2 linked regions of the Struthio camelus genome follow. The protein of the gene in region 1 interacts with the protein of each later gene in a pairwise test. Links are inferred from orthologs where the notes say so. Each region holds a gene or a part of one and is shown in the gene's direction. Other genes may lie near its edges. The genes, in order: CNKSR1 and CYTH3.

The links.
Region 2: the proteins of CNKSR1 (region 1) and CYTH3 interact in binary tests that used the Homo sapiens proteins (3 or more experiments, as listed by UniProt). The two-hybrid records come from large-scale screens. The link is inferred for Struthio camelus from reciprocal best matches to the Homo sapiens genes CNKSR1 and CYTH3.

Annotation. Positions count from the first base shown.
Region 1 is NC_090964.1:7,136,061-7,151,018, reverse strand, and holds the start of CNKSR1 (connector enhancer of kinase suppressor of ras 1), read left to right. Parts: upstream 1-9,030; 5' UTR 9,031-9,045; coding exon 9,046-9,097; intron 9,098-9,499; coding exon 9,500-9,684; intron 9,685-9,809; coding exon 9,810-10,012; intron 10,013-10,135; coding exon 10,136-10,220; intron 10,221-10,634; coding exon 10,635-10,676; intron 10,677-10,760; coding exon 10,761-10,880; intron 10,881-10,957; coding exon 10,958-11,017; intron 11,018-11,308; coding exon 11,309-11,377; intron 11,378-11,540; coding exon 11,541-11,660; intron 11,661-11,805; coding exon 11,806-11,885; intron 11,886-12,458; coding exon 12,459-12,574; intron 12,575-12,688; coding exon 12,689-12,822; intron 12,823-13,074; coding exon 13,075-13,105; intron 13,106-13,243; coding exon 13,244-13,416; intron 13,417-13,551; coding exon 13,552-13,625; intron 13,626-14,030; coding exon 14,031-14,102; intron 14,103-14,230; coding exon 14,231-14,304; intron 14,305-14,662; coding exon 14,663-14,727; intron 14,728-14,805; coding exon 14,806-14,920; intron 14,921-14,958. Other genes in the region: protein FAM110D, read left to right, coding at 34-316, 561-1,139; C23H1orf232 (uncharacterized protein C1orf232 homolog), read right to left, coding at 2,035-2,305, 2,603-2,700, 2,788-2,865, 2,955-3,029; ZNF593 (zinc finger protein 593), read left to right, coding at 4,130-4,326, 4,615-4,677, 4,915-5,056. UniProt on the Homo sapiens protein: May function as an adapter protein or regulator of Ras signaling pathways.
Region 2 is NC_090956.1:9,136,126-9,151,171, reverse strand, and holds the start of CYTH3 (cytohesin-3), read left to right. Parts: upstream 1-7,563; coding exon 7,564-7,680; intron 7,681-8,362; coding exon 8,363-8,427; intron 8,428-8,846; coding exon 8,847-8,913; intron 8,914-13,185; coding exon 13,186-13,304; intron 13,305-15,046. UniProt on the Homo sapiens protein: Promotes guanine-nucleotide exchange on ARF1 and ARF6. Promotes the activation of ARF factors through replacement of GDP with GTP. Plays a role in the epithelial polarization.

The DNA of each region.
Region 1 (14,958 bases):
CGGGCTAACCCCGTCTCTCCTCTCTCCTCGCAGGGCCGGAGCCGAACGCGGGAGCAAAGCAGGGGTGGGACGACCCCCCGGGAGGCAGGAGCCGGCGCCGTCCCTGCCGGAGCCGGGTGCGGGCCATGGTGCCCCTCGGCAGCCCGCCGCCGGCCGTCTGCGCCTCCAGCGAGGTGGGGCTGGCGGCCCCCGGCCGCCGCCTCTCGCCCCTGGGCTTGCTGAACCGGGGCCCCGACTACCTGCGGGAGCAGATGCAGGGGGGCAGCGGGGTCCGGGCGCCCAGCGCCGTGGAGCGCCTCGAGGCCGACAAGGCCAAGTACGTCAAATCCCAGCAAGTCATCAACAGCCGGCAGGAGCCGGCGCTGCTGGGCTGCTCGCCCCGGCTCTCCCCCCGCGGCCGGCGCCTCCTCGCTCTCCAGCAGTGTCACGAGCTCTGCCAGGCCTCAGACCTGAGCCGGGACGGCCCCAGGAAGCCGCCGTGCCCGCAGTCGCCCGTGTCGCGGAGAGGGGGGAGCGGCAAGCGCCTGCTGAGACCCGACTCGCTCATCATTTACCGGCAGAAACGGGACTGCCCGGTGGTGAACAAGGAGAACGCTAAGGGCTACGGCTTGGTGAGGCGCCTGTTCCAGGGACCCCTCCGAGACAAGCCCCCCGGCTCCCCCGCGGCGGCCCCCCAGAGCCCCGACACCCCCATGCTGTGGGCGCCCGCCGAGAAAGAGGAGGCGAGGACGCAGGGGGCGAGCGGCGGCATCGTCCCGCTGCCCGGCGGCCGCCCGCCGCCGCCGGCCTCCCCCGGCCCTGGCAAGCAGCCGCTGGGGCTCCGCGTCTCCCTGCCGCTCTCGGAGAAGGAGCGATTCTTCAACTACTGCGGCCTGGACCGGGCGCTGGTGGAGGTGCTGGGGCAGGAGCGGTTTGGGCCGGCGGGTTGGGACGCGGCCTCGGCCCGGCCGCCGGGCTCGTGCGAGTCGGAGCTGGGCCGGGCGTCGCGGGGCAGCGGGGAGGACGGGGAGGCGGGCGAGGAGGAGCCGGGCGCCAGGCTCTGCTCGGCCGTCTCCGTCGTGGAGCGCAACGCCCGCGTCATCAAGTGGCTCTACGGCTGCCAGCGAGCCTGGGCGGCCGCCAAGGAGTCCACCGTCTGAGGGGCCTTGGCGGAGGGAGAGGCGACCCGACCGGCGACGGGGAGACCCCGGCCGGCCCCGTGCCGGCTGCATACGGCCCGCGGTGCCGGATGGACGTGGCGCCGGCGGCGGCCGTGCCAGGCCGCGGCTGGCCGGGAGAGCCAGCAGGTCTACCCATGGGGAAACTGAGGCACTGCGGGCTGGCCCCCGTTGGCCACATGGTTTCATGCCCTTGGAGACCGGTCTGAGCCCGGAAAGGGCTGCGTTTTGGGGGGTGTGGATGCTCGGAGGAGTGTGATGGGGGTGTCCGGGGGAGGAAGGGTTTCCCCCCCGCCAGGTCCTCCTTCGGCCTCTCCTCGGCGCTCCCCAGCTCCTGCGGAGGGTGGCGGGAGAGGGCAGCAGCCCCGGCGTCGTGGAGCCAGGCCCGGTCCGGGGGGGCGGGCAGAGCCCGAGCCCCCGCTGCGGGCAGCGCCCGCCCGGCCCCCGCTTCCCGCCGGGCTCACCGGATCCGAAGGGGAAAGGGCTGCGCGGGACCGGGGCAATGCTCAATAAACCCGGCTGTGTTTTTAGCCCGGCTGCGTATGCGGTTTGTGCCGGGCGCGGGGGCAGCTCCCCGGCCCCCCGGAGGGGCGGCCGCGGGCAGGGCTGAAGAAAGCTCGACGCGGCGGTGGGAAAAAGGGGCAGCTCGAGGTCTTTAGTGCAGACACCTCCAGGCAGGCAGAGACCGGCCAAAACTCACTGCAAACGCCCGCCGCGGAGTTACCCGGCTCCCTTATCCGAGGGGGTAGAAACAGCGTCGGGGAAGGGGGGCAGGCCGGGTCCGGAGCAGGCGGCAACGCGGGAGCCGGGGGTGCCGGGGCAGCGCTGCAGCGGCCGCCCGCGCTGCTGCAGAAAGTCCTTCCGGGCGGCTCCTGCTCTAGTCGCCCTTGGGAGCATTTTTATTCCGGATCTCGGCAAGTTTGTCGGCCAGGAAACCCCAGCCGAAGGCCCCTTCCTCGGGCTGGCGCAGGTCGGCGGCCGGGCCGGGGCGGGAGCCGCCGTCGCCCGCGAAGTCGCCGGGCTCCCCGGGGCTCTCGCCCGGCTCCGGCTCATCCGACGCCGCAGGCTGCTGCCACTTGGAAGCGAAGAGGTCCCAAAAGCCGGGTGCCTTGGCGGGGGGCAGCTCGGCCGGCGAGGCGGACAGCGGGCTGGGGAGACAGCGGGGGGACGGTCGGCGCTTGGGGAGCCGGGGCCGGAGAAGGGCGCCGGGACCCGACTGCCTCCGGCTGCTGGGGGGTGATGGCGGAGACCCCTCTCTCCCCCCCCCCGCCGTCCCCCTGCTCCAGCCCTCGAGCCCTCCCAGCAAAGCTTCCCCAACCCGTCGGGTTTCGGAGCCCGCGGGATGGACGCATGGATTAAGGAGCAACGCGGAGCCGGTGGCGGCAGGGGGTTTGGGGAGGGGGGGGGTTCATTGGGGGGGGGGCGGCGTGTTGGATCCCACTTACCGGTCGGCGCCGGGCTCCGGGCTGAGCAGCCGGCGTCCGTCCTCGCGGCCGAACAGGGCCGAGAGCGTCTGCCAGCCCCTGGCTCCCGCGCCCTGCACCTGCGGACGAGGCATGGCGCCACTCACCCGGCCCGCGGCCCCCCCCGGGGCGCCCGCCCCGGCCCACCGCCCCCCGGCCGCCCTCACCTTGCGCGCCAGCTGGGCCACGGGGCCGGCTGCCTCCTCCGGCGGCTCGGCCGCCTCCATCCGCTGCGGGGGCTCTGCCTGAAACGCAGAGGCAAAGTCAGAGGGGTTTTTTTTGGGGGGGGGGTCTGACCCCGCTTTGGGGTCCCCGCGCGGCCCCGCCGCCCTACCTCTTCGTCCGTCCGCTCGCCGCTCAGCGTCTGCAGCGCTTTGGACTTGTAGAGCCTCCAGAAGGCCTGAGTCATGGTGATGGGCTCAGGCGCCGGCCGCTCGCCCAGGTGCCGGGCAGCCCCCGTGTGCCTGTTCCCGGGCCGGGCTGCCCCCCCCCCCCCCCACTCCGTGGGGCTGGCGTGGGGGGCAGCGGGGTCACGGGCCTCCCCCCCTCCCCAGGGATCCGGTGTCGTCATTAAAATTTTAGGGGCTGCCTCGGCTGCACAAAGAGTAACCCAAGCCGGGCCGGGTGCCGGGGGGGGGTGGGTGGGCAGAGCGAGGGCAGCTGCTCCGGCCCCCCCCAAACCTCCCACCCTGGCCCCCGACCACCCCCCCCTCCCGGCACCCCAGGGCCCCTCGCCCAGCGGGGTGCCCCGTCCCCCCGGGGCCGGTGCCCGGCCGCAGCGCGGGCGCTGGGGGCACGGCGCTGCCCCCTCCCCGCTGCACCCCGGCTCCCCATCTATTATTGATTCCCCGGGGCGGGCGGTAAGGCGATCGCTGGGGGCCGGCGGGTCGGCGCGGCTCCTCTGCCCGGGGCTCCGCGGGGGCACCCGATAAGCGCCGCGGCCGCTCCGGGACCCCTTGGCCCCGGCTCCTGCAGGGCCCGGCCTGCTGAGCCCTGGCCAGCTCGTCGCAGCAGTGGTTGGAGCAGGGCCGGCCCCGGCATCACCCCTGGCCTCGAGGGCTGCAGCAGGGTGACAGCGGCAGGGTGACAGCCGCCACCAGCGGCCGGTCCCACCCCGAGCGCCCCAAACCGTCCCCGAGGTGATGCCGCGCTTCGAGCAGGCCACGCCGCCCCGGTGCGGGGCCAAAGCCCAGGGGGAGCCGGGGGGTTTCGGGGGGACGCGGCCCTCCCGGGGGTCGGCCACGCCGCAGGGTGCAAGCGCCAGGGCCGGGGGGGGGGGACCAAGCGGGGCCGGGCAGGGCCGGGGTTTGGGGCCCGGCTCCCCCACCCCCCCCCCCAGCGCGGCGGGTCGCGGGGCACCGAGTCCCGCGTGGGGCCGCGCCGGGGGCGGGGCCTGGAGGGGTGGGCGGGGCCTGCCGCCGCAGGGGGCGGGGCCTGCCGCCTTCCCCTCTCTCCTTGCGGTGCGGCGCGCTGACGTCATCAGCGGGCGCCGCCGCCGCCGCCGCCATCATGTCGCCGCGGAGCAGCCGGCGCACGGGCGCCCACCGCGCCCGCTCCCTGGGCCGCCAGGGCAAGGCGAAGCGGCGCCGCCGGGACCTGGACGAGATCCACGCGGATCTCAGGCCCGAGGTGGCCGCCAGGCTGCTGCGGCAGGAGCCCGACCCCGACCTGCCGGGCTGCGCCCAGTTCTACTGCCTGCACTGCGCGTGCGTCACGGGCCGGGGGGGGGTAACGGCCGAAACGGATAACGGCCGCGGGGGGTGGGGGGGGCCGGTCTGGGGCAGGGGTCGCTCTAACCCCGGTAGTTTGTCCCGGGAAGGGATGGAGGCCGCCCCAAGACGGGGTGGGCTGGTAGTGGGGGGGCTGCCGCTGGGGCCCGGGCAGCGGCTGCCTCACGCGAGGGCCCCTCAGAGGCGGCTGGGCTTGGCTGTCGCTCCCTGTCCCCCGCCCCGCTCCTGCCTCGGGCTCCTCTCACCCTCAGTCTCTCCCTGCAGGCGCTACTTCGTAGATCTGACCAGCATGAAGGAGCACTTCAGGTCCAAGGTGCACAAGAAAAGGTAAGTGTGGGGGGGGGCTTCTGTGGCACTGTGAGCCGCCCGTGTGGGTCCTCGTGCCATCCCCGGAGCTGCGCCTGTAGCCACAGGGCTCTGCCCTGTCTCCAGCTTTGGCAGGGTGAGGCTGGTGGTGTCAGTTCTGGGCCAGTTTGTACAGGAGTTTGGCTTGTTTTAAGGAGATTCAGGTGAACATCAGAACTCACATGGGTGGTTTAACAGTAATTTCTGCCTTCTTTTCAGGTTGAAACAGCTGAGCGAGGAGCCGTACACGCAGGAGGAGGCAGAGAGAGCGGCTGGAATGGGATCCTACATCCCCCCAAAGAAGGTAGAAGTACATACCCAACCGATCGATGAAGAAATCGAGATGGAGGCGTCCAGCTGAGTGCAGCGGACTAGAGGGCCAGGGCTGCCCTTATTACAGTGCTGCAAAAAAGGTGTTTTGTTACTGAGCCCTGTGAGGAAAACGAGCTCTCTTCCAGCCTCCCAGCAACGAAGCAACAGTTTTCCTGGCAGCTTTCCTTGCTGAAGAGCTAATGAGGAGAAGGCAGCCAGAGAGACCTTGGATGCCCTCGTTGGGGAGGGCGCTTGTGTACTATGTGCCTGACAGCAGACTGTGTTCCCCTTCCTGGGGAAGGGACAAGCAGCAGCTTGGTGTAAATGTTATATGGCTGTGCACTCATCTCTCTGGTTTTAGAGCAATTTTAGATACTTCTCCTTGGGTTAGAGGTTGACACCTCTAAGTCACCCATTAAAGTATGTTAATCAACAGGCTGGCAGTGTTGAATGCAGAATTCTTTGCTAGTGTGGTCCAGGCTCTGGCTTGGAGCAGTGCTGAGGTAGTGGGGACAGCTGCCCTTCTGGATTGAGGGTAGTCTCTCGATTTTAAACTTTTCCTGAACCTTGGAAGTGAAATATTCCCAGAGTGCCTATCAGTTTGTAGGAATGGCCTCGTCACAGTTCTCCTGCCCTGACAGGAAGGTAAAGCTCCCTCTGGTTTGTCTTCCGGTGAGGGGGATCCTAACGCGTTGGTGGAAGGTGCAGCACAGGAGCTTCTTTTGGGGGACTGTGTGCTGGAACGAACTGCTCTTCAAGCCCTTGGGTCTATCGCAAGCAGCTTTTTGTGTTTCTGGCCCTGCCTGATTTGAGCTCCCAGAGTGGGCCCTGATCCCCTGTGCGCTTTGAGGGGCAGGCGCTAATGTGTTCCCAGCAGGGACACCTCCGGGCTTCTGCCCACTAAAACGCAGTGCCTGGTGAGTGGTTTCATACCCCCAGAGAGCAGCGGCATGGGGCCGCGCACCCAGTGTGATCCAGTGCCTACCGCGTATCCCCCAGCCCAGTGCTGTTCTGTTCCTGCGCAGGGATCCTGCTTCAGCCGCCCAGGCTGTCGGGTGCTCCCGCCCCTGCTAGGGCAGCGCCTCCCTGCTCGGCCTCTCTCTGCTATGCGACTCCAATGTTTGCAACGCTTCCGTGTTGCAATGGCACTGACTGCCGTAAATTCCTGCAGAACAGGTTTGACTGATACAACTGTGGCACTAAAACAACAGATGAAAGGTTTGTCCCCCCTGCTGAGCCACAGGAGGAGGGAGCGCTCAGCTGTAGCAGCAGAAAGGCAGCGAGACAGTGCAGCTTTGCTCAGAAGGAAAAGATTTATTTGCATGCAGACTGACCAGATTTCTTCCCCCCAGGGTTATCGAGGCAATTAAACCTAGTTCTCTAGTTGGTATCTAAACACTCTCTGCTAGGGGCAGCTTTGCTCCATGCAGCAGCTCGGAGCAGTGTGGGGTTTGGTGTGCAAGAGGGAGAGGTGGGAAGGTCCTGGTGGGGAGATGGGGCATCTGCCCCCTGCTCGCAGGCAGCAATTCTCCGATGGGAGCCAACCCTGTGTCCTCGTTTCCACTCCCAGCCTCTTGCTCGGAGGCTGATCTTGGTCCCAGCCCTCCCAGCTCTGTTGTTATCTAACAGCGCTTTGCGCTGACCTCTTTTCTGCCGGCTGGTGACGTGGGGCTGCTGGCTGAGCCGCCCGGGGAGGGAGGAGCGGCTGTTAATTGGAGCTGGCCTGACTGCAGAGGCAGCACGTTCCCCTGCGCCGGTTCGGGGAGGGAGCCCTGTGCGGCTGCCAGCGAGGCGCAAGGGCTGCGTGGGCCCCTCTCCCGGGAGCAGGGTGGGGAGAGGGGGGCCAATGCCTCACCCAGGCCCTCCTTTCCATGCGTCTCTGTTCACTGAGGCTCGGTTGTCTCATGGTGGCAGGATCCTGGCTTCTCGGCAGCGGCTCAGTTTAGGGCTCAGCTTGCCACTGCCTGAAATTGGGTCCCTGGGCTGCGCCTGGCAGCTCTTGAGCTGGAAGGTGACCCTGGCTGCCAGCTCGCAGCGTCGGTTTGTGTTGTTGGGGAATCGGAGTCAGAATCGGGTTGGCTTTTCCATCCTTTGTCCTAGCTCCCAAAAGGGGGACAAACGTGTCCCCTCAGCTCCAGGGCAACAAAAGGCCAAGGCAGGGAGGGGAAGGGCAGGATGCAGCGTAAGCGGGCTACGAAGGGGCTATGAGGCGAGAGTGAGTCAGGAGACGCATCCGGCAGCTCCCCGTAGCCAGGGCTTGGTGAGCGGAGCGGGTCCGGCAGCTCCCGTGCCACCAGCTTGGGGCTCGGCTGGAGAGAGCGGGGAGGGGTGCGATGTCGCTGGAGCCCGGGACTGTTCCCTGGGCCAGGCAGCGCCCGCCAGCTCCCCGGCCTCACGGCTCCGGGGAGGCTTTGGCGGGGCCGGCCATCCGCCGGGCGCTGTAGTAGGAGAGGCTCAGCCCCACGGCGGCCAGCAGCAGGGCCAGGTGATTCACCAGCCGGTCCCTCGGCTCAGCCTCCCGCCACCCTGCCAGCTGCATCTGCGGGAGGAGAGGAGAGCGCTGCGAGACCCGAAACCACCCCGGGGACGGGACTCGGTGGCCCTGGGAGCGGGGACAGGCCCTGCTCCGCTCCGGCACGCGCTGGGCTAGCCCGGGGGCTGCGCGAAGACACGCGTCTCCGGGTACGCTGACCACGGCCGTGCCCTGAATGTCCTGGCTGCGCCCAGAAGAAACGCGGAGGGATTTAAGGGAGAAAGATGCAGTTTAGCCAGGGGCGCGAGGGTGCTCTCGGGCTGGGCTTTCTGCCCGCTCGCTGGGCTCTGCCTTCGGTGGCAGCACCCAACGCTGCACCCTCGCAGGCAGCTCCAGCCCTCTTTGGGGCCGGGAGCTGGGGTACGGCCGGGCATCGCTCGCGGCGGCAGACAGGGCTCGCGGGCAGCACGGTGCCGGGGGGTCCCCACGTGCCCAGCCCCAGCCCAGCTCGACCCTTACCTGGAGCAGGCGAAAATACCCCGGGGTTAAGCGTCTCGGGCGGATGATCATGGTGCGGCGGGGAAGGGCGATGGGCAGCTGCGGGAGGAAGAGGAGAGCGGCGAGGCAGGAGGAAAGGCCCGCGGCTGGCATGGCCCCGCACGGAGATCAGCTGGATCGGGGGCCCCCCGGCTCCGTCGTCCGGGAACGGGGTCGGGCCGCGCGTGGCCCCGGCAGTGGGACCCCCCCTGCCGCCGAGTCCCTACCATGGGTCCAGCCCTGACCCGAGCCGCGGCCGGGGGCCGCCAGCCCTGCGCCCTGGCTCCGAAATCGCCGTGCGGCCGCCCAGCGCGGCGCGGCCGCCCATCAGCAGCTGTCAGCAGCGATCAGCGCGCGCTGCTCCCCCAAGCGCACGGCCGGGCGAGGGGGGGACGGCCCCGCCAAGGCACCTTCCGGGAGAGGCCAGCTCCCGGCCAGCCAGAGCGGGGTCTGGGGCTCGGCGGAGCTGGCCGCGGGGCCCCGGCGTGTGCCGCCCTGTGCCTCGGTTTCCCCACCTGCGAAGGAAGGGGGGGGGGAAATCGCCCCCGGCGGGGGTCCCACCCTGGGAGCTGACGGCCTTCCCCTCCGTGCTGCCTGCCTGGGGGAAACCAAGGCACGGCGGGCCGGGAGCTGGGGGGAGGCGCGTGCCCGCGGCCCTCCGTCTCCCACCCGGCAGCGCAGGACGTGGCCGCAGACACCGTCCCCGGCGGTTCAGGCCCAGCGCGGGGGGGAAATAAGTCAGCGGGGCCGCAGGGAGGAGAGCGGGCCGGGGAAACTGAGGCAGCGCGCGTCGGCGCTCGCCCCGCAGCGGGGAAACCGAGGCCCGGGTGCCGGGGCGGGGGGGGGTCTCGGTGGGCCGGGGCTCTCCCCGCTCCGTCGGGGCCGGAGGGGCGAGCGGAGCAGGCCGGGGTGGGGGATGCTGGGCGGCGGGGGCGGGCTGCGCGGCGGAGTGGCGGCCGGGCGCACCAATCGGGCCGCCCTTACCTGGCGCAGGTGTGCCGGCTGCCGCCGGGGCCGCGGCGGCGGCCATGGAGCCCGTCGGCACCTGGAGCCCCGCGCAGGCGGCCGCCTGGCTCCGAGGTGAGCGGCCCCCGGCCGGGCCACCGCCGTCCCCCACCCCGGCGGGGACCTGGGGGCGGCTGCGGGGAGGCAGCGAAGGGGACGGTGGTGGGGGGACGTGCCTGCTGGGGGGGGGGTCACGGCGCTGGCCCTTCTCACCCCCCGGAGCGAGTGGGGCGCGCGGGGTGCCGCTTCCCAACCTTGGGGGGGGGCCTCGTGCCCCCCCCCCCAACGCTGCAGCCGGGCTGCGGTGCCGGATGGGCTGAGACCCGGCAGACTCATTCCACGGTGAGGCGGTGCCCAGCATCCGGCTCGCCCCGGCTGCGCCCGCGGGGATTTACCGCCGCTCCCGCCAGCGTCACCCGGCGAAGGGGCCGTCGGGGCGGGGGGACCCGCGGTGTGTCCCCCCTGCCGCCCCGTCAGCTCCAGGGCAACGCGTCCCCGGGGCAGGCCTGGACGCGGCGGTGCAGGGGTACCCCTTCGAGGCCTGGGGGCTGGCCGGGGCCGAGGTGCTGCGGCTGTCGGCGGGCGCGCTGGAGGCGCTGGGCGTGCGGCGCGTGGGCCACCAGGAGCTGCTGCTGGAGGCCGTGGAGCAGCTGCGGGCGCTGGTGAGTGCCGCCGGCCCCCGCTCTCCCCGGGGCGTCCCCGCTCTCCCGCGCCGGGGCCGGATGCGGGCAGCATCCTCGAGCATCGCCCGCTTCCCTGCCGCCCCGGCGCCTCTCTCCTGCGCCAGGACGAGGAGCTGGCGAGCACCAGCCTGCGGACGCTGGCGGAGAAGCTGCGGGCGCTGGCGGGCCGGGCGCAGGCCCTGGTGCTGGGCGAGCAGCCCGCCGGGGCGGGCGCCGGGGCCGAGCCGCGGCCGCCCTCCCTCGACCTGCTGGCCTGCGTCGTCGAGCTCGTCGGGGCCGCCAAGGAGCTCTTCTCGTGGCTCAACAGGTCGGGGCCGGGAGGGCGGGCAGCCCTTTGCACCGTCGCTGGCCCCCCTGGGGCACCCAGGGGTGCTGGGCACCCTCCGCTCGGCCCTGATCCGTCTGTCTGTCTCCCTCTCGTGCCCTCCAGGTACCTCTTCTCCACCCTGAACGACTACTCGGCCAGCCGCGACATCGTCTTCCTCTGCACCGAGCTGGCGGAGGCGCTGCAGGAGGTGAGTGCCGCGGGCGGCTGCCCTGCCCTGAGGCCCCGGTGATGGGCATGAGCCGGGCTTTCCCGAATCCGAAGCCTGTGTGTGCTGGAGGCAGCCGTGCAAGCGCCAGGGCTCCCAGCGTTATGGGGGATGCGGCACAGGGGGTCGCAGGGCCCGTCCCCCCCTGCCCCAGGAGCCTGGTTTTCCCGCGGGGACCCTGGCTGGGACGGTGCCGGCAGGGCCCAGACTGCGCCGGGAGAGCGGCTCCGGTGGGGTCCGGGGAGGAGGAAGAGGAGACCTGGCGATCTCTCACCCTGCTGGTGTTGGGGGGGCTTCGGCTACCTGTAGGGACCCCCAGGCCGGACCCCTTGGGTGCTGTCTGGAGCCAGCGCTGCCTGCGGTGGCCCTTGTGCTCAGCCCCTTGCCTCCTCCTAGGACTGCCCAGCGGCCGAGAGGGATGGCCGGATCCTGACGATCGTAAGTGCTGGCCGGGGGCAGCCGGGGGGGGGGGGGGCTGGCAGCACCGTCGCCCCCCGCTCAGCCTGGTTCTGTCGCCCCCAGTGCCAGCACATCGTGGGCATCTGCGAGAGCATCGTGGGCTGCAGCCCCGGGCAGCTGCTGGACCGCACGGCCGTGCTGCAGCGCGTGGGGCTGGCGCCGGCTCTGCCCACCGCCACGCTGGTGAGTGCCCTGGTGGCCCCGGCCCCGGATCTGCCCGCCGCCCCGCTCACGGCTCCCTTCCCCGTCCCCCTCCGCAGGACCTGGAGATCACATCCACCAGCTCCGGCCTGCACTTCGTATCTGGGACCCCCTCGGAGGTGAGTTGGGCGCTGCTGAGCCCGTGCAACTCGTCTCACGAGTGAGCACAGGCCAGGCTGCAGCGGGAACCCCGCTCCGCGCCGTGTTTCCACCAGCCCCTGGGCTCCCTCCTGCCGGCCGCCCGGCATGGCCCAAAAGGTCAGGCCGGCTGGTTAATGTTTAAGCCGGGCTTTGCAAAGCCCCGCTGCTTTCCCCCAGCCGCAGCTCAGCTGGCGGTGCGAGCGCCTCGGGCGCTTCGCGGGGGGCAGCCACCGCGGCGCCCCATCCCGCTGCCTCCCCTCTGCCCCCAGGCGCTGGCCGTGCGCGGCCCCCCCATCCTGCCCGGGGACGAGATCGTGCAGGTCAACGAGCAGGTCGTGGTGAGTGCGGCGGAGTCCGTCTCCCGGAGCGGCTGCTTTGCGGGATGCAGGGATGCATCCCCGGAGGAGCTGCTGGCAACGTGTCCTCTGCACGGCGGGGGGACGGGGGGCGAGCGCAGGGCAGGCGGCCGCTGGTCCCACCGGTGGCCGGTGCCCTTTGCAGGTGGGCTGGACGCCCGTGAACCTGGCAAAGAAGCTGCTGGAGAAGCCGAGCGGGGCCACGCTGGTGCTGAAGAAGGTGCCCCCCAGCCTGCCCGGCTCCCCCCAGGCTGCCAGGCAGCAGGTGAGCGATCCCAGTGCCCCTAGTAGAGCCCCAGCGCCAGACTGGGCAGCAGCGGGAGGTAGGCAGGGGTGCTGGGAGCATCTCAAAGCCCCGGGGCACCGTCCCCAAGCGGGACGTGGGCTGGGAGTGACGCACTGCCCCGCAGGCAGCCCGCTCGGATGCGGCGGATCCCGCCGGCGCCAGGAGCAGCGAGCGCCCCGGCAGCCCCGCGTCGCTGAGCTCCAGGTGAGCCCCGGGCCTGGTGCCCCGCGCGCCCCGGCCCTGCGCAGCCAGCGGGTGTTCGGGAGCATCCGCTCCGCCCGGGGTGGAAAACGCGGGCTGGGAGCACCGCGACGGAGAGTAACGTTCACGCGAGCGTCCCCGGAAGCTGCCGAGAGTCTTAAGGCCAAAACAAAAAAAAAAAAAAAAGAGGCTCTGTTTGCAATTAAGTCACTTGGTAACATTTAAATAGGAGTTGCAACTATATTTAGAACTGACCCTTCTCCTCTCCCGGAATGGAAAGGCGTTTGCAGAGCCGTTGCCTGCTGCTGGCGCGTCCGGCCGAGGCAAAGGGGCCGAGGCCAGGCTGGAGGCGCCAGGCTGTGCCTTGATCTCCCTGTTGGGGCAAAAAAGCAGAGGGGCTGGTTTAGCCGGTGCCTCGTCTCTCCTCCACGTCGCCGCTTTCCCTCCTCCCCTGCTTTTCCGGGGAGAGAGAAACGCCTGCGCCCGGGCGAGCGGCGCGGGACCTGGTGCTGGCACCTCCGGCGCGGCCGCGGGACCGGCCCCGACAGGAGGGATATTTGTCCCTTCTCCCCGCAGCGTGGCTGCCGACTGGGAATCGGGACCCGACTCGGCGCCGGACCCCGCCACCGACGAGGAGGACGAGCGAGCCGCCAGCCTGCCCGGGGACCTCCTGCAGGGACTGCTCGCGGACGGTAGGGAGCGGGGTGGGGTGGGGGACGGCGTCTGGAGAAAAAGCAGTTGCTCCGTCGGGGATACGGATGGGTCCCGCGGAGCGGAGATACAGCCGCTCGGCTGCCGGGCCGCAGGAGGCTGGGGCGCTCCGGGCTCGCTCGCCGCAGGTGCCTCGGAGGACGCGGCGCCAGGGAGCAGCACGCCGCCGGGCGCCCTCACCGCCGCCGGCCCCGTGGACCTCGGCCCCCCGGCGGCCCCCGGGAGTGAGGTGAGACCCGGGGGGTCTCGGGCAGGGCTGGGGGTGGGAACAGGACGGGTGTCGCGTGCAGCCCGAGCGGCGAGGCAGAAGCCTCGTGCCGGGGGGCTGAACTCGCTGCCGCAGGGTTTGCAAAGCAGCCAGACGAGGAGGACCCTCCGTGGGCGGCAGGCGCAGCTCGGGGTGGGGGTCTCGGCTGCACTCCCCCCCACCTCCCCGCCTGCCCGCTCATCTCTAACCGCTCGTCTCCACCTCTCCACCCAGGGCAGCCCCGAGACGCGCCGCAGGCCCAAAGGTGAGCTCCTCAGATCCCCCGACGTGCTGCGTGGCCCCGCCGCGGCAGGGGTGGCCGCCCCCCGTCCCCGGGAAGACGGCGGAGCACGGGCCGGGGCTGCCCGCGGGCGCTGGGCACCACCTCCTCTGCCTCCCGCAGGAGTGGCGACCAGGCTGAGCCGCCGGCGGGTCTCGTGCCGGGACCTGGGCCGGGTGGACTGCGATGGCTGGCTCCTGAAGAAGAAGGACCACGTGGGCTTCATGGCCCAGAAGTGGAAGCGGTGCTGGTTTGTGCTGAAAGGCCACACGCTCTACTGGTACAACCATCCCAATGTGAGTGGAGCCCACCGGGTGACCTCGCTCCCGGGGCCAGACCCCGGGCGGCTGGGAGAGGAGCGTGGGGCCAGCCAGGCTCTCCAAGCCGGTGAGCAGTGGACGGTGGTGGACCTTGCTGTGTTTCCCCTGCAGGATGAGAAGGCCGTGGGTCTCATCAACGTGGCCACCTACGATCTGGAGAGCACACGGGAGCAGAAGAAGAAATAGTGAGTGGGTGTTGATGCCATCATCTTGGCTGTCTCGCCACAGACCTCCCCATGGCGGTGCGGGTGGGACGCTCTCCGAAGGGCACGTGCCGGCAAATCCTGCTGGGTGCCACCTGCCCGTCCCAGCACAGCGCTGGAGGGGGTCGCGGCTGTGCTGGCAGGACCGGCTATGCTGTGGCGTGGGATGTGCGTTGTGTTTCTGGTGGTATCTGGGATGTGGCCGACAGTAGTATCCAGAGCATCTCCGATGTCAGGGAAAAGCCTGACCCAAGCCTGCAGGCTGGATTGGGAGCAGGAAGGCTGCCAGCATGGGGGAGGCTAGATGGGGGCTTAGGGTTGCCTATGGTCGTGGGTGACCCTGGAGAAGCAGCAGTGAACGCAGCTGCCCCCTCACCCTTCTTGCAGTGTTTTCCAGCTCTCCCACGAGAAGTACAAGCCCTTCATCTTCGCCGCAGAAACGCTGGCTGATCTGAGCATGTGAGTAATGCCCAGGCCGGTCCTGCCACAGACGCAGCCCAGAAACACAATCCCGTGGTTTGCAGTGGCTCAGGCCACAGCGGGGAGCGGGCTGGCTGTGACCATCCATACATCTGTCTTTTCTCAAGGTGGGTCAGTCACCTGATAACAGCCAAAACGAAGTACACGTTGGCCCACCAGTCGGTCCCGCACAGGGAGGAAGGTAAGTGCAGCCTTTTCCAGGACAGTCCAGGAGGTGGGAGAAGGGGTCGGTTCCCCCCAGGGGAGATGGGGAGCCTGCAGGGAGCTGTGGGGCTGCAAGGACCCAGGGTGTCCACATGGCAGCGATGCCTCATGGATGGGTTCCTGCGTGGGAGCACTAAGAGCTTTGCCCATGTCCTGAGGGAAAACCATGGGAACTGCCTCTCCCGGCAAGGAGAGGTTGAGGGGAGGGATGGGGTATGGGATGATGCTTAAGCTGGGAGGGCTGGAGGGGCAGCCTGGCCTCTGCCCCTCTGGGGGCACCAGGCCGTGGTTTCCTGCTGCCCTCCGGACTCACCATCCTCCCTCATTGCCTCCAGACTGCTACAGCGAGACCGAAGCCGAGGACCCAGATGACGACTCTCCCAGGCCCAGCTGTCACTCTGTAAGTGGCCCTGTGGGAAAGGGGACATCCTGAGGAGGGGAGATCCTTGTCTCACCTCCTGCCCCATCTCTCCTCCAGCCAAAGAGGAGGCTGCAAAATGCCCCGGAGAAAGCCCAGCTCTTCCTGGCCACCGGCGAACCCAGCAGTGCAGTCAGCAGCCCCCAGGGCAGCCACCAGTCCCACTTGCCCATGGGTAGGTGCTCGAAGTGCTCGGGGTGGTCTGTGCCCTGT
Region 2 (15,046 bases), on another chromosome or scaffold:
AGCAAATACTCATTAACTTAAACACACTCTGTTTTCAAATAGCAGATATCTGTGTCAATCGCATAATTAGGAACTAAAAAGTTAGATGTCTCTTAAGTTGTTTCTAAGGGTATATCTATATAGGTGCAGATCTGAAATCTGATATAAAATTCTGCCTGCTTGTGCTTTAGTGCAGCTAAGAAGGGCAGCTAATAGGTAGCACCGAGGGCTAGTAGTTCAGACTGAGACCTGTGACAAGCCTTTATACTCTTTTCTTCCACTTCTACGCAGCTTTTGTTGCTCATATTATGTACTTACATAGTTTGTAAAGACATATGCTACAGCTGTAGTTTTACTGCATGCTCCTGTTCCATTAAGGTCAAGAAATGCATTTGTCATGGCTTATTCTTTATAACCATAAGCATATGTATGGATAACTTACTGCATTTGTGAAATGCATGCATTTCATCACAGGCATTGGAAGTTTCATTTTGGGGTAGGCTTGCCTTTTGTCTGAAGTCAGTAAATTGTGCTTTAAAAATCTTTGCTGGTAGTTCTAATTTTTTTTGCTTACTTCATCTACCATCTTTGAACAGATCAAAAAATAAATCCTCTTGATCCGATTATAAACATTATGTCTTAATTTTAATACATTCGTTAATGGCTCTCACTGTGAGCTTTAGAGGGAAAGAAAAGACTGTCTTAATGAGACTAAGCCTATGGTACATCTACTCTAGTGTTTCGGTTTCAGCTTTAAACAATCTGTAAAAAATACATGCTATTCAGAAAACGTGGAGCAAAAAAATCATAAGTTAAGGATAATACCATATGAAATCAAAGCAAGGCAGCACTCGTGTGCGTGTGACAGGTGAAACCAAACGCTGATTTTGGAGGGCAGGTAGGTTTCATAAATTAGATCCTCTCCCCCTCCCTCCCCCCAGATGTGTCTTATCTGATTTTGCAGAACTTTGGAATTGCCTACTGTGTTTGACTAGGAATGCTAATAGAGATTAAATATTTTTTTTCCTCGGTCAGAATTCAGTCATTTACCTATTTGAAATCATTTTACAAAAAATGATTTCACATTTGGCAGTACCATGATCCTTCTGTCTCTTTTGTGGATAGAAAAGACATATTCATTTTTTTCCCACTTTTGTTCTTTCAGTAAAAGTGTTGAATATGAATAACTGGTATAATTAAATATGCTTTCATGTTGTAGTAGATTTAATATTAACTTAGGCTTTTTTTTTTTTTTAACATATTATTAGAAGTCCAAAAGGACAGGTATTTTTAAAATATCTTATGGTCCTAGAGTGAATAGTGTGTTTAGCAACATCTGGTAATGGTGGGTTGTCCCATAGTTAAACAGTTAATATGATGGGTGCCAGTCTGAGGTTCTCCAGTGGATTTTGCCACTAATGTGGCACTAGAGTCTGGTCGTAGAGCGTCCCTCCTGACTGAAAAGTCTCAAAATAACTTTGCAAGCCATGGTCCAGTCCTAAACTCCTCACTCCATGATAATTACCATTGCCATGAACTGGTAATTTTGTATTGGGAAGGATATTGTGTGCAGAATCATTTTCACTCTTAACTGAAATGTGATTGCTGCTATGCTAGAACATGTTCCGCAGTGTCTAAAAATCATAGAATAACGCAGTAAGGTGGTTAAGAAAACAACAAAATCTTGCTAGTTTTCCAAGATGAATTTAATGCAGATATGTTTTTTGTTCTCGCACAGTGAAGTAAATCTATTCAAGAGGATGTCCTCCTACAAAAACTTCTATGGAATTTTTTAATAGCCACAAGTGGTCGCAGCTTTGTTTATATGTCATGTCTAAAAGCTGGAAACTGTTCCTATGGTTAAGTTTAAAAAAGGGAGCATGTAGGGGGAAAGGAAAAGAGACTGGCCTGAGAATATCCGTTGAGACAAATGTCCTGATGTCCTGAGACAATCAGATTTGTTCTCAGAGATGAATGTGTATTTTTTTTTTTTTTTGAAGGCCTGAAGACTCTGCCGTACTCATTCTCTATGTGGGCAAGGATAGATTTGTTTTGTTTTAAACCTTGGGTTGTGTAAATATCTTTACACTTATAAGATGTTTCAGTTGCAGCTAAATTAAATCCCTTCCTGATCGTTCTTTGCTTGGAGCAGAAGCACAGATAGCTCCAATTTGAGGGTGACATGGCAAAAGGAAAATACTTATCTTTATGAAACCAAACAGTTAGTTGAATTATAAGAGTCAGGGAGTCATGTTGTTTCATGAATGGGGTTAGAGAATTAATGATTTATCTATTGTTAGATATTGTTAGATATTTTCTTTCTTCTAGTTATGAATTATTCTGCTGTCTTCTTGAGAGACTAAACTCTGGAATCAGTTGAAGTGGTGGAGTACGATTGCGTTATGTCTTGGCCAGTGAATGCAAATTGAAAGGCTAGTAAGTAAGAGTTGTTAAACATAGGAGTTCAGTTTTCTTGGTTCATATAATGTAATTGGAGAGGTGGAAACGATTTAACTTTCCCTCCTGAAGAAGGGATCAGAGATCTGGACTTGGAAAAGTACTAAATTTCCCTTTTTTAATTTTGGGATTTGCTCCCGATTTCCACTAACCTGTGGGCCTGTCTTTCCATGTTGATCTATTGCAGTCCTTTCCTGATCTGCAAAGGACTTTTTTTTTTTTCTTTTTGGGTGCCTGCTTGCCCCAAAACGCTGCATTTAGATAAATGGCTTTTACATAATGCTGAATTTATTTGCTTAATGCTTAACAAATAAATATGAAGAAAATACACTGAAATGTAGTAAAACAAAGCAAATGATGGTGTAGAGGAATTGTCAGGAAACAAGAATGTAAAGCATTGCATTTTGCAGTTGAATTTGTTCCCCCACCTTTTTTTTTTTTTTTTTTTTTAAATTTTGCTATACCTTAAATGTCAGCACCTAAGAAGCTAATTGATTCCAGTGCTTTTTAGTAGAGAGAAATAGATGCTTACTGTGTATTCATAAGCTTTAAGGGTTTTTGGTTAATATTCTTGTTTGGATACTGTACTTGTGTTGTCAGTAGTAGTAGCGAATTTATTTAAGAAAGTGACATCACAACTGCAGGACAAAACACTAATTACTATGGCAAACTACAGGTGTTTTTGGGTTTTTTTAGGTTTTTTGGTAACCCATTTACTGTAAACAAACCTGTATTAAATGTGCATATTCCAGTAAATGTTTGTTTAGAAGAAATACAATGAAATGCATTTAGATCAGTTACAGTAATTGAACAAAGATAGACCAAACTGGGGATATCTATTCAAATTTCGGTAACTTTTAGTAGTAACTATATATATGTGTGTGTGTGAGTGTGTGTATATATAGATATATAGATACATATATATGTGCTGTTGTGCGTTCTTCTGTTTTACTACTTGGCTAAGAGTATAATTTGTACTTTCAATAACTTTGTTCCTCTTTAATGAAAGATCAGTAACTAAATTGACTTCCTATTTAGTAGCAGCTGAAACGCTTTCCACGCGGGCTAAAAGGTTTGTCGCATGAATGAGTTGCGTTAGCAATAGAACATTCTTTTTATTTAAAGACTAGAAGACATCATGAAAGCATGGTGCACCCGCAGCTTGTTCGCTATGCTGTAACACTTTTCCCTCCAGAGGATCTTTGTTCCTTTTTGTTATTTAAATGTTCGTGCAGACTCCTCCTATCCTGTCTACTTTGTGTTTAGAGCTGGTGAACCGCAGAAAACTTGGAAGTGACTGAGAGAGGGCAGCTAGAAAACCTGTCTTATGGGACAAATGCGTAATGTGCGCTCTAGGAGCCCTTCTGTACGAAGGGTTATATGGACACAAGGTTAAACAACAAACTTGAGTATTTTAGCTATGGAAGAGTCAAAGTTGTTTAATGGAAGCAGTCTTGTCAGAGCGGATATTTGTGTCATGTACCTGCAATATTTGCTTATGACTGTAAGAAAGTTTTAATGCACTGCTGTTAAACTTTTGGCCATATTTGATCTTACGTTTGTTTTCAGCAGCTGTAAAATAAGTCTTTGTGTCAAACATCTCAATTGTGGGTTTTCAATTTTTTTTTTTGAATAAATAAAACGAACATGGTTTGCTGGCTCTCGCTGCGGTAGCTGCACGGCGGGTTGCAGAAGGCGCCTCAAACTGCCGTTGGATTGACCAATTGCTGTTTGAGTCTGGAACAGGTCTGATATCACTGAAGCAACATTTTATTTATTTAGAAGTAGAATGTAGGGTTTTTTCCTGTTTTCCATGTGTTTTTGAATCACTAGAGATCACTGAAAAGCAAAGAATAATTGAAGTGAAAAATGCAGAGTAGATTCTCGAGAGCAAAAAGTAATGTTAGTGGTGCCCTTCTTGCATGAGCAATGTTTTAAGCCACAGTTGAGCATCTTCTGCTGTTCCTTTCCTTCCAGGTAAGGTAAAAATACCTTACAGTGCTGATGTTTCAAAGCCCTTCACCGAAATACAGAAATACTGTTGTTGCATTTGTGTTTTAAGAAGGGGGATTGAAACATGGAGAAGGCAGTAGACATGGCTGAGGTCACACAGCCTCCTGGAGCAGAACCGTAAGGCCTCCGAAATTGCGGTCTGTGACAGCCCACGCAGCCTGTTAAGAAAGTTTTTGGGGAGGTGGGGGGGTTCACTTTCCGATGGATCCGTTTCCTCCTCAGCGCGAGCAGGAGCGCTGGAGAAGGGAGGCAGTGATGATAGGAGGGGGGTGAGCGCGTAGCAAACTCCCACGGTTGTCTGCACACACGGGCCAGTTTGGGGCGACGACAGGAGCTGCGCATCCTGCCAAGGAAGTGATCTGTCCTGCCAAGGAAGTGATCTGTCCTCGCTGGCTGCCGGGCTAAGGGGAAATAAAGCCCTGACTACAGCAGAAGCCCAAGCAGTACCCTAACGCTTACCCAGTTGTGTCCTGGCTCTTTATTCTTCTCAAGGGATATTAGCCTTTTTTGGCTTCGGTGTTAGGACTGCCATGTGACGGTGTTGTCCGGACGTGGCGTCGCCTCCAAGCGCTCTCTTTAGAACCGTCCCGCCAGCAGACAGCGCTCGTCTTGCTGCTGGCAGATAGATCCTCGATGCGACTTCCGAAGGCCAACGGCGGCGTGGCTCCGTTTAGTTTATTTCCTTCCTGTGTGACAATATCATTAATCATATCAGGAGGGTTATGTCTCTGTGGCTGCTGCGAACTGTCAGAGGAAATGGAAAAAAAAACCCAGGAGAGTGTCTGTGGGTGCTGTAGGAAAAGGACTGAAATGTTTTTATTTCTGTTCTTCGGTGGCTGTCTGGAGGGTAGACTGCTGTGGCGCCATTTGGGTTGGTTCCAAGGAGACGTTAACTTGTCCTAGGCGTCCCACACCCTTACCCCGGTGGGCTTCAGCTGCAGAGTGACTTGGAGAAAAGAAACCGCAGTAAGGGTGAGCGACGGCATCCTGCCGCCCAAAGAGCAGCTGCTGCAAAGATTTTTGTCACTTGATTGGAAGTAAAAATCGAGCACCGTCTATGGTTACTAACCATTTAATACTTAAAGGTTATTGTCTATTTAGGTTTGAATTTGTATTTCCAATTGCTAATGAAGATGAGATTTGCCAGACCGTCTGCTGTGACCAAAAGTTAAAAACCAACCCCCCCGCCCCCAACAAACAAACAAAAAGCCCCAAACACTTCCTAATACTGATACTGCAAAATCTAATCTAGTTGCGTCTACTGCAAAAGCGCTTTAGGGATACTGGAGCGTACTTCCCAGCTAAGAGGCTGAGTGCTTATACACGTCTTGCCACCTTAATAATCAGCTTCAGGTAACAGGCTTCGTATTTTGTTGTCAGGTCGTCAGGTAACTGGAACGACTGTGGTATCTGCGTGTACCTAGTGTGTGCGTAGTCAGGAAAATCTCTTGAGTTTGGCCAATGTAAAATCTTGGGCTGTACGTGTGAGACAAAGCTGTGATGTCTGGGGTAGGCAAATGTATTTGTAAGTTTTGCAAAAAGAATCGGTTAGTATTTGCATGAAAGAAATTTTTAGGAATGGGTAGGGTTCTGGGGAGATGAAGGGAAAAAGCAGGTAAACATATTCAAGTCTGGTATTCTTTCAACAAAAGACTTTATCATTTCCTAAGCTGGGAGTAATGTAATTACGTTTGTGTCTGGAAGAGTTAAATTAGATCATTTGGCATAATTACTTTGTGTTTAACAAGCTGTGTTGCCATTTGGATTTTATATTATGCTTAGACTCCTAGGAGGAAAGGAGGTTAATCACTGGCTGCCAGAAAGAATCGCTATATTTCACTGTTAAGATTTGAACAGAGGATACGTTTCAAATATATCTTTAAAAAAAATCCCATAAAACCTAAGTCTGAGCTCCTGATCCTGTTGCTAGAAGCTGCTAGACACGGGCATATGAGATAAAGAAACAACTTTGGCCTTTTTAAATGACTACGTACTTTTACATGTTTTTGTTGGTAAAGAATTTTATTTGTTTTACATATTCTGTTTTATCTAATCTTGAAGGAAAAGTTGTTCTGCAATTCTGGAGCAATTTCCAAGAGAGTGAGTCACATGAAAAACTATTATACTATGGGTTCGTTGCAAAGCAGGTGCATATTTTTGGTTGATATGGTAGTGCTGTGCAAGTGAGTGAGCGTAGTCTCTGTCCTATGAAGCCTCTTGCTAGGGAGAATGCAATTGCTTAATAAAAGCTGAGGTTTTTTGGAGCAACTTTTCATGTTTGCTTGTCAGATGCAGACAGTGGGGTAAGGGAGCTGCTGCTAGGGTGAGTGACAGCCGAAGCTGTGTACAGAAATGTGTTTGCATCTTCAGTAGCAAGTAATTTTTATCAACATGGTAGCATATTTGTTTTAGCATAGTCAAAAAGATATCTAAAATTGACTTAAATACTTCGGACTTATTTAAATGATATTATATGAAAACATAAGCTTGTGAGATGCTGTGCTAAATAACTAATTCCAACTGTTTGTTTATTTGTAATGTAGAAAGATGTCTATCCTGCTGATGGGAAGTAATCGCTGTTAAAGATGTTAGTAGTATTATACTTACAGGCATCTGCTGTACAAAGCAGTCAAATAAAAGGGTACTCCTGAAAATATGTTGTCGTCTGAAATCAGCACCAGGATGCGTGTCTTTGTAATGAGTTTTATGTAGCGTTACCTTTTTTCCTGAAAAGATAGTCAGGTGCATGTGTGTTAAATCATACTTAATTTACATGGAGAATTTTGGTCTGTTATTGAAACAATTGGAGTGATGCCAGACATGAATTTGGCAATGTAACTGTAGAGCCAAATCTGATGACCCATTATATGAGAACAGATTCCCTTTAATTGTCTGGCTTTCTTTGAAAGACAGATTCTTTCCATAGTCGTTCATTTAATTACCTAATTTATGATTTATAAAGTAGAATTTCAGTAAAGTGAGTATTCCGTTTTCTTTCTTTTTTTTCCTCTGAAAATAATCTTGACTAAAAAAAAAAAATGCCATGAAGTTGCCTGTAAACTTGCTTTTCTTAATCGACATAGTCTGATTTTCTTCTGTAAAGTGTGTTTGCAAATGGTGAAAGACTGTACTTTTTGCTGTATTTCAGTGCCTGATGACCTCTCCATAGAGGAAAGAGAAGAACTGCTAAATATTCGTCGCAGGAAAAAAGAACTGATTGATGATATTGAGGTAATTTATCTCTAAAAATTCTTACAGGACTGCTTCAGTAGATTAAGTTACAGTACACTGCAACACTTCCCTCTACCTAGTTATGAACTGCAGGTAATGTTTTCAAAAGCATCTAAATGGCTTAACCTAAATCTTACTAATTATCAAAAGGATTTATGCAGCATTTATGTTTTAAAAATGCTAATATCTGTATGTAATGTAACATGTGCATATGTAAATATTCTAGGTTAGTGTAATATCTCATATACAGTAGTTTTGTATTCAGGGTAGCAGTGAATGAGAAATCTGAGCAAAAAAAAATTATATTGAAATGGTTAATGTTTCTTGTAGTGGTAAAGAACATGAAATAATGTGACATTGAAGGTAAGCAGATGAATAATAGGTGTAAAATCTGTATTCAGAACAGAATCTGAAAAACAGCTTTCGGAAGAGGATTTTTTGATTGTGGTGTTCCGACCTGGGCACGCACTGGGAGTTAAGATCCACGTGTTTAACAGTGATTCAGCTGTGGTCAAATTAAAATCTTTAAGCTAAGAATCTCAGGAAGGTTCACTACTTTTCTTCAGATGACTAGTAAATATTAAAAAAAAAAAAAAACTAATTGATCATAACCGTATATGCTAGCCAATTTCAAAAAATGCTTTAATGTTGGTTGACTTACTTTACTTCCCTCTCTTGGCAGAGATTAAAATTTGAGATAGCCGAGGTTATGACAGAAATTGATAATCTGACTAGCGTAGAAGAAAGGTAAGTAATGCTAACGATATGGGAATGCTTCAGTAAGATGTTGGAACAGGTCTTTCAGGAACAGCAAATACAGATAGCTTTATTATGTTGAACAAACATTTGATCACCTTTTTTCACTCTGTTATAAGGTCTTATCCCATTCAGATGTGTCTTTGCTTTGGCTAGAAAGTGATAGATATATTGGATAGAGTGTGATCCTTTCAGCTGTTCTATTGATAATGATACAGCTCTAAAGCTGTGATCACTTAAAATAATTTAAAATTGTAACATATTTTTCCCCTTGTGAAAACTAAATGTCTCAGTTCTGTAATTGAAAATACAAAAGTAGCCAACGGTCAAGTTAAGAGGTTCGTCCAGAAATTATCTAAGAGCAAGGGATAATCTTTTTGTTTCTTCCTTTTCTTTTTCTCCATATGAAGCAAAGCTACGCAAAGAAATAAGCAAGTAGCTATGGGAAGGAAGAAATTCAACATGGATCCTAAGAAGGTAGAGCATGTGTTTTGTGTGGTGTTTTTTTTGTTTATTTGTTTGTTTTTTAACTTGTCAGGACTCAGGTTCCTGCTAGTGATGTGATTTGTGGCAAATATAGACTGTTTTCTTTAAGAAATCATGTCTGATAGCGTTAAATTCATAGGCCTTATTTGTCTATCCTTTAACATACTGAGCAGAGGGTTAAATTAGGTGCAGTCGTTTGGTCATTTGCCAGTCATGTATGCTTTTTTCACTCAAGCAGACTTTTTTTTGATAACAGAAAATATTATCAAAGGTCAAATATGCCAGGTATTGAGTTGGCTTGCAGAAAGATTATTTACACCTGATAGAGGTGTTTTGTATTGGTATGCTAAATGTAATTATGAAAATATTTTGAAGTTTGGTTACTAGCTAGGCCATATGTATTGTCTGCCCCCTATTTTTTGTTCTTTTAAGATATCGATAATGTTTTTCAAAATTTGTTCTCACATAGACTCTTATATTTGCTTATCTAAATTCTGTTTGTGAATAATGCATGTGTATAGATTTGTATGCTTATATATGCACGCGTGTTCACACATACATATATACGTACCTGTACCACTGGTAAGTAGCCGCAAGTGGATACTTGGTTATCAGTTTCAAGAAGGCTACTGTGCGTTAGCTGAAAGGTAAAGTAGTTCATTGCTCCGCTGAATAGCGGTTTTACCTTGAGAATTCCGTGACCTGCTCATTCTCTTGTAGACTTCCCTCTGATATATTACAAAAAAAAAAAGTGTTGCTTTGATATATTTGACTTGGTTTCCTAGATTTCCCCTTTAACCTTTACTTTTCATTTTGGAGCTTTCTTGCTTTATGTTTTACTGCCTTCTGTTGTTTTCATTAGGATTTCATTTTGAATTTCTGAAGGATCTTTAACAACTCTTTCAGAATTTTTTAATAAGCCTTTGTTTTCCTGTGTCTGTTCTTGACATGTTTTCTTTCCAAACGTATTTAATTCAGTTGTGTTTTGGTGGCTTTTCTGTGATGTTCCAAGTACAATAATGTCGACTGTTTTTTGGGGGCTATTTTCAACTTACCATAAGCACTCTAGTGTTTTGTGATACAGAACTTTTTTTAAGCCATTGACCATGTCTTTTATTTTTCTTGTCTGTTTTGGCGACTGTCTGACTTTGGTTCTGCTGAGGGCAGAATATCCTCAAATATCCTGATATGTTGTTTTCTCCAGCTCCTTTGCCTCCTAGAAGTTTGTGGTAAAATCACAGAATGATGTCAAATATTTTCGTTGCAATGTTAGCTGGTCTTTATTGGTGGGTGAAATTATTTCTATAAATAGATGCTGTGGCCACATTGCTCCTGTAACATAATTTAAATGTGGTGAATAGACTTACAGTAGTAATTCCTTAATGATGTCTGTGAAGCAGTGGTGGCCTGCAAGAGCTGGCTGCTCTAAAGCTGGATCATCTCTTTGTTAGCAACTGTTACTTTGAATTATAGGCAGCTAAAATATATGTCCTTCTGATGTTTGAGAGAATTAACTTGGAATCACTGTGGAAAAGGACTTTTTTTTTTTTTTTTCCTAAATGGGAGAGAAAATGGTCTCCATAGACAGGAATGTGAAAGAAATGGGATAACAATACGTGTGTTGAATTCCCCAAATTCTCTCCTTTAAAAACAAATAATAAAAAAGACATCTAACACATTCTCGTTGGCAAGAACATATAGAGCTAATTTCTCTATTTTTCTCAAATTTTATTTGAAGACCTTTAAATTTTCCAGCGCTTAATGCAGAGCGATTACTCCTCCTCTCTCCCCTCCAAAAAACCGCCTGTTTCGAGATCGCTGTGTTTAGTGTAGTTTCGTGAGGTAACATCACGTAACTAGTTGTTTGCGTTTGGATAGCTGGGGTGGCAAGGGCTATAACGACAAAGCCTGTGAAATGCTTCGAGGATCCCTGCACAGGGATCGTGCAGTTGTGCTTGAAATTCCCAGCGCTGGCAGTCAGTACGGTCTGGAAATGAATTCTCTATGATAAAGACAGGGTTTAAGCAACAGGAAAATGTCTAAGTAAATTACTGTAAAAACTATGAAATTCAAAGCAGATTTCACTGTGCTGACTCAGAAAACCTGTGCGACATTTTTAATGAATATTAAATATTTCTGTAAGCCTGGATTTTGTGTGGGAGGTGAAACTAACACAGATATCTCCCATCTAACATCTGTCTACAGAAAAAATTTACACGGAGTCAAAAGATAGTGTAGGAGTAGAGGGTGTTTTGGATAGCCTATTTTACCATTTATTCCAGGCAGTACAGTTGTTCTCCCAGACAAATTTCCTTTTCCTGCCTATCTACTTCATGGTTCCTTAGCATCCTAAAGAGAAGAGTTTAAAAAAAAAAAAAAGACAAAAAAAATCAATTTGTATCGTTAAGGTATCTGCTTCTCTGCAAAGAAATTTGTTTTCCATAATTGTAATCACTTCCATCATTTTTCTCAGTAACATGTATATTTCTTCATACCTTTGAAAAAACTATTCAGGTCAGTCTGCTTCACTAAACATGAATAATATGGTCCAGGTGTTGAAGAAGGCAGCCTGCAACTGCTGTGGCTGATGTTTGCTGGGAGGAAGGTGCTCTCTCAGTTGATAGAGCTGAGAAAAGTGTTTGAATAACTTGCTGTTGGAAAAAAAAAAAAAAATTACACTGCATTGTCAAATGAATTTTTTGGTACAAATATTCAGTTATGAAGTAAGCTTTGAAGTGATCGCTTCTGAGGAAGGCTCAGCTCTTTCTACTTCATGATAAACCGATGTTTTCTTTGCAACGCATTTGTGCCTGTTCTTTAATAACTTGTAAGAGTATTAGGTTGTGAGACTCAGAATGCCAGCCTGGCATTGAAATAAGTTTTCAGTTGATGATAAAATTGTTTTGAGAAAAGTAGAGTCCAGATTTTTTTTAACGCTTCAAGAGTAGTAACATCACAGTTTTTCTCTGCCAAAGTAGGTCAGAAAACTGACTTTTTTGTCAGGCAGGTGGTAGTTATAAAAAAACAGAAACAACCGACCAGAAGGATAGTTACTTTTTTGAGGGCTACTATAGACCCTTGTGCTTGCTCTGTCCAAAAATAATGGAAATTTTCAAAGTTGGAATGAGATTTTATATATATATATATATATATATAAATATATAAATATTCCATTTGCAATGAAAAAGTGAAAAAATTATTATTTCTGAAATTATCAAATGTTCTAATAGGAAAGGTTTGGAACAACTATTAAGCTTTTCTGTGCATATTCTGAATCCAAGACATTAAGTTTGCTTATAGCTGCTGCTTCTACTTTTTACTAGCATGCTGCTGACCCTTTAGTGAAATCAGCAGGAGTATTAACATCTTTGGGGTATGGGGTGAAAGAAAAGACAGACATCCCTTCATGACCTGCTGAGTTTTGGAATACTATATTTTCCGTCCTTTAAAAAAATCTTAGTATAACTTAGCCTCCTTTCTTTAGTGCTCTGCAGCAGGTTCTCTGGGCATCCCTAGAACGTGCCCGTTGCGGGGTCAGTAACTCACGGCAGGGCAGGGTTACAGGGGCTCGATCCAACACCACCACCTGGATGGTGGCGAAGCCTCTCCTCCTCACTTCAGCAGAAGCTCCGTGGCAGAAGCTCGACTGGTTTCATGGACACTCCTTTGCGAATAGCTCGGTTGAAGCGCAGCCAGAAGTCGGTGACAATGCCGGTGTCAGCAGTAACCATAATCTCTTTAAACCGGTTTCAGTATCTTCAGCCACAACTCCTACTGCAAGTAGGGGCTTGATGTATTGGGTTGCTGATTGCAAATTATAACAGATGCTTTATTTTGTGTCATAGTGGTAATTAAGTTATTCCTGTATACCTCTTCATTATTATGATCTTGCAGATTATGACTTGGCACACATTTGAGCAATAGGGTGAACAGACTAATTTGCACATTAATGCAATATGAAGTCATTACTTTAATAATACTTGTTATTTCTATCGTTGAGGAATTTTAAATTGCCACGTAGTACTTCTGGCCTTAAAAATGCATTCTTATTTGAATCTGTAAATTCATACTAAATGTTGTTTGTCTAACTGAAAACATTCTTTTGTTTACTATTCTTTTTAATCTGCAGACTAATCTAATTCACAGTATGAGAAATATATGTCTGTGTCAACATATTTGTGCCAAATGTCATGAGCAATATGTACATAAGTGTTTGTGGAAGAAAACATAACGTTCCTTTTCCTCTGGAATTGCTCTTCCTAGGGGATACAGTTTCTGATAGAAAATGACCTCCTGCAGAACACTGCAGAAGACATTGCACAATTCCTTTATAAAGGAGAAGGATTAAATAAAACGGTAATTGGAGATTACCTTGGTGAAAGGTAAATAAAAATATTTAAAATTTGTTCTTGTGTTTACAAAGTACATTTAGGGATTTTTTGAAAGTTACCTTCCCCTTCACAGGCCACAGGAGCTGGCTAGTACTCGGAGATCTATAAAAGCTATATTGGGAAGTAAAACTACTACCCTATTATGATGGATTTTGTTTCCATTTGGTTCTTGTTTGTTTTAAATGGATAAATTATTTCATAATGTATTGTTTAATTCACTGTAACTTGCTGTTTTGAGAAAGTACTCTTAAATTTGGCTATAGTGAAGAATTTAATACCAAAAGCTTTTGGAATGTCTGAGAGTTGTATTGCAACGTTTCTGGTAGCTCCTGAGGCCTTGTCCAGACAAGGGATGCCTTGTCCAGACAAGGAATGCCTTACAATTGCTAGTAATAGTTATTAAAATTGACAGTACTGTGCCAGTGGTTGTAAGCGGGTTGTAGTGTTGCCTTCCCTGCACACAGATTTCCCGTAACGTTGCTGGGCGGTAAGTAGGTATCTCACAGGGCAGCCGCACCGTAGCTCTATCAATTCTAGTGCAATAAACGTGCCAGTTTACTTCCGTGGCTGAGCAGCCGAGGAGCTGATCTTGGTAGCTGCCGCAAAAAGAGACAGAAGCGGAGAGTGAGATGGAGTATGCGTGTGCACGTGCTTGCGCGCGTTCAGGTTCGGCTGCCAGTTGTGGAGGTTGAGAAGTTGACTCATTTAGGATCCACTCTAGTGGTATGTTCTGGCAGCTCCCTTTTGAGGCATCCATCATCTGCTTACAGGATCAGGGGCTTAATTTGTGCACAGCAATTTCCTCTTGAAATTGATACATTTAATGGAAGTTTTCACTGTAATATATGTATTTTGAAAATGTATTTTCACTGTAAAGTTTCTCCACAATGTATGTAGACATTTCAACAATTTTTATAGGAAGCATTATGAAATTTCCCTTGGATATTTGGGCTAACAGTGCTCTGCAATTACTTATAGCTATATATAAATGTTCATAATTGTAAAACTGTAATAGAGCTTATATAAAGCTTTCTGCTCATTTTTAAGAGCACTATGTTATGCTGTGGTATTGTGTTCTGAAATAATTCCATTTTTTCCAGCCCTAATCCTCAAACGGCTTTACTTACGCAGAAAGAGGTCTTATCATACATCCAGTCCCGATGGAGTTATCATGAATAGTCATGTCACTATTTATAGGTTCACATTTAAAATTCAAAATTTTTTTGCAAGTTCTCTTCCGTTCCAAGCTGGACAGCCCTGTGCTCTTCATCCGCACTCTGCAAGTAAAACTACTGAATCTCTCCCTTTTATCAGTTCAAAAGTAAGCTGAAAACGCAGGGCAACCTTTGGTAATATTGATTAGGTGTACTGATAAATAAGCAATTCAGTGACGTCTTCCTGATTTCCCCCCCCCCCCCCCCCCCCCTTCTCCCAAGGCTTAACTACAGGCAAATATAGACACCAGCACTGAATAGCAAATTCAGTCTGGGAATTTCCTGTAAATCTATTGAGGGGGTGATAAAGTCTTAGGAGAGGTGAGAAAATGAACATACTGCTGCTGTTCTGCCACAAGGCAGTGTATCCGTTTAAGGAGCAATTGAAATAAAAAAGAAATTTAAAATTATTTTTTATTTTAAAATAACTTTTTTTTCAATGCCTCTTATCTCTACTTCCATTGTATTTCCTTGTTTTTTAATTTCTATAAGTGATGCAATATTAATATAGTTATGGGA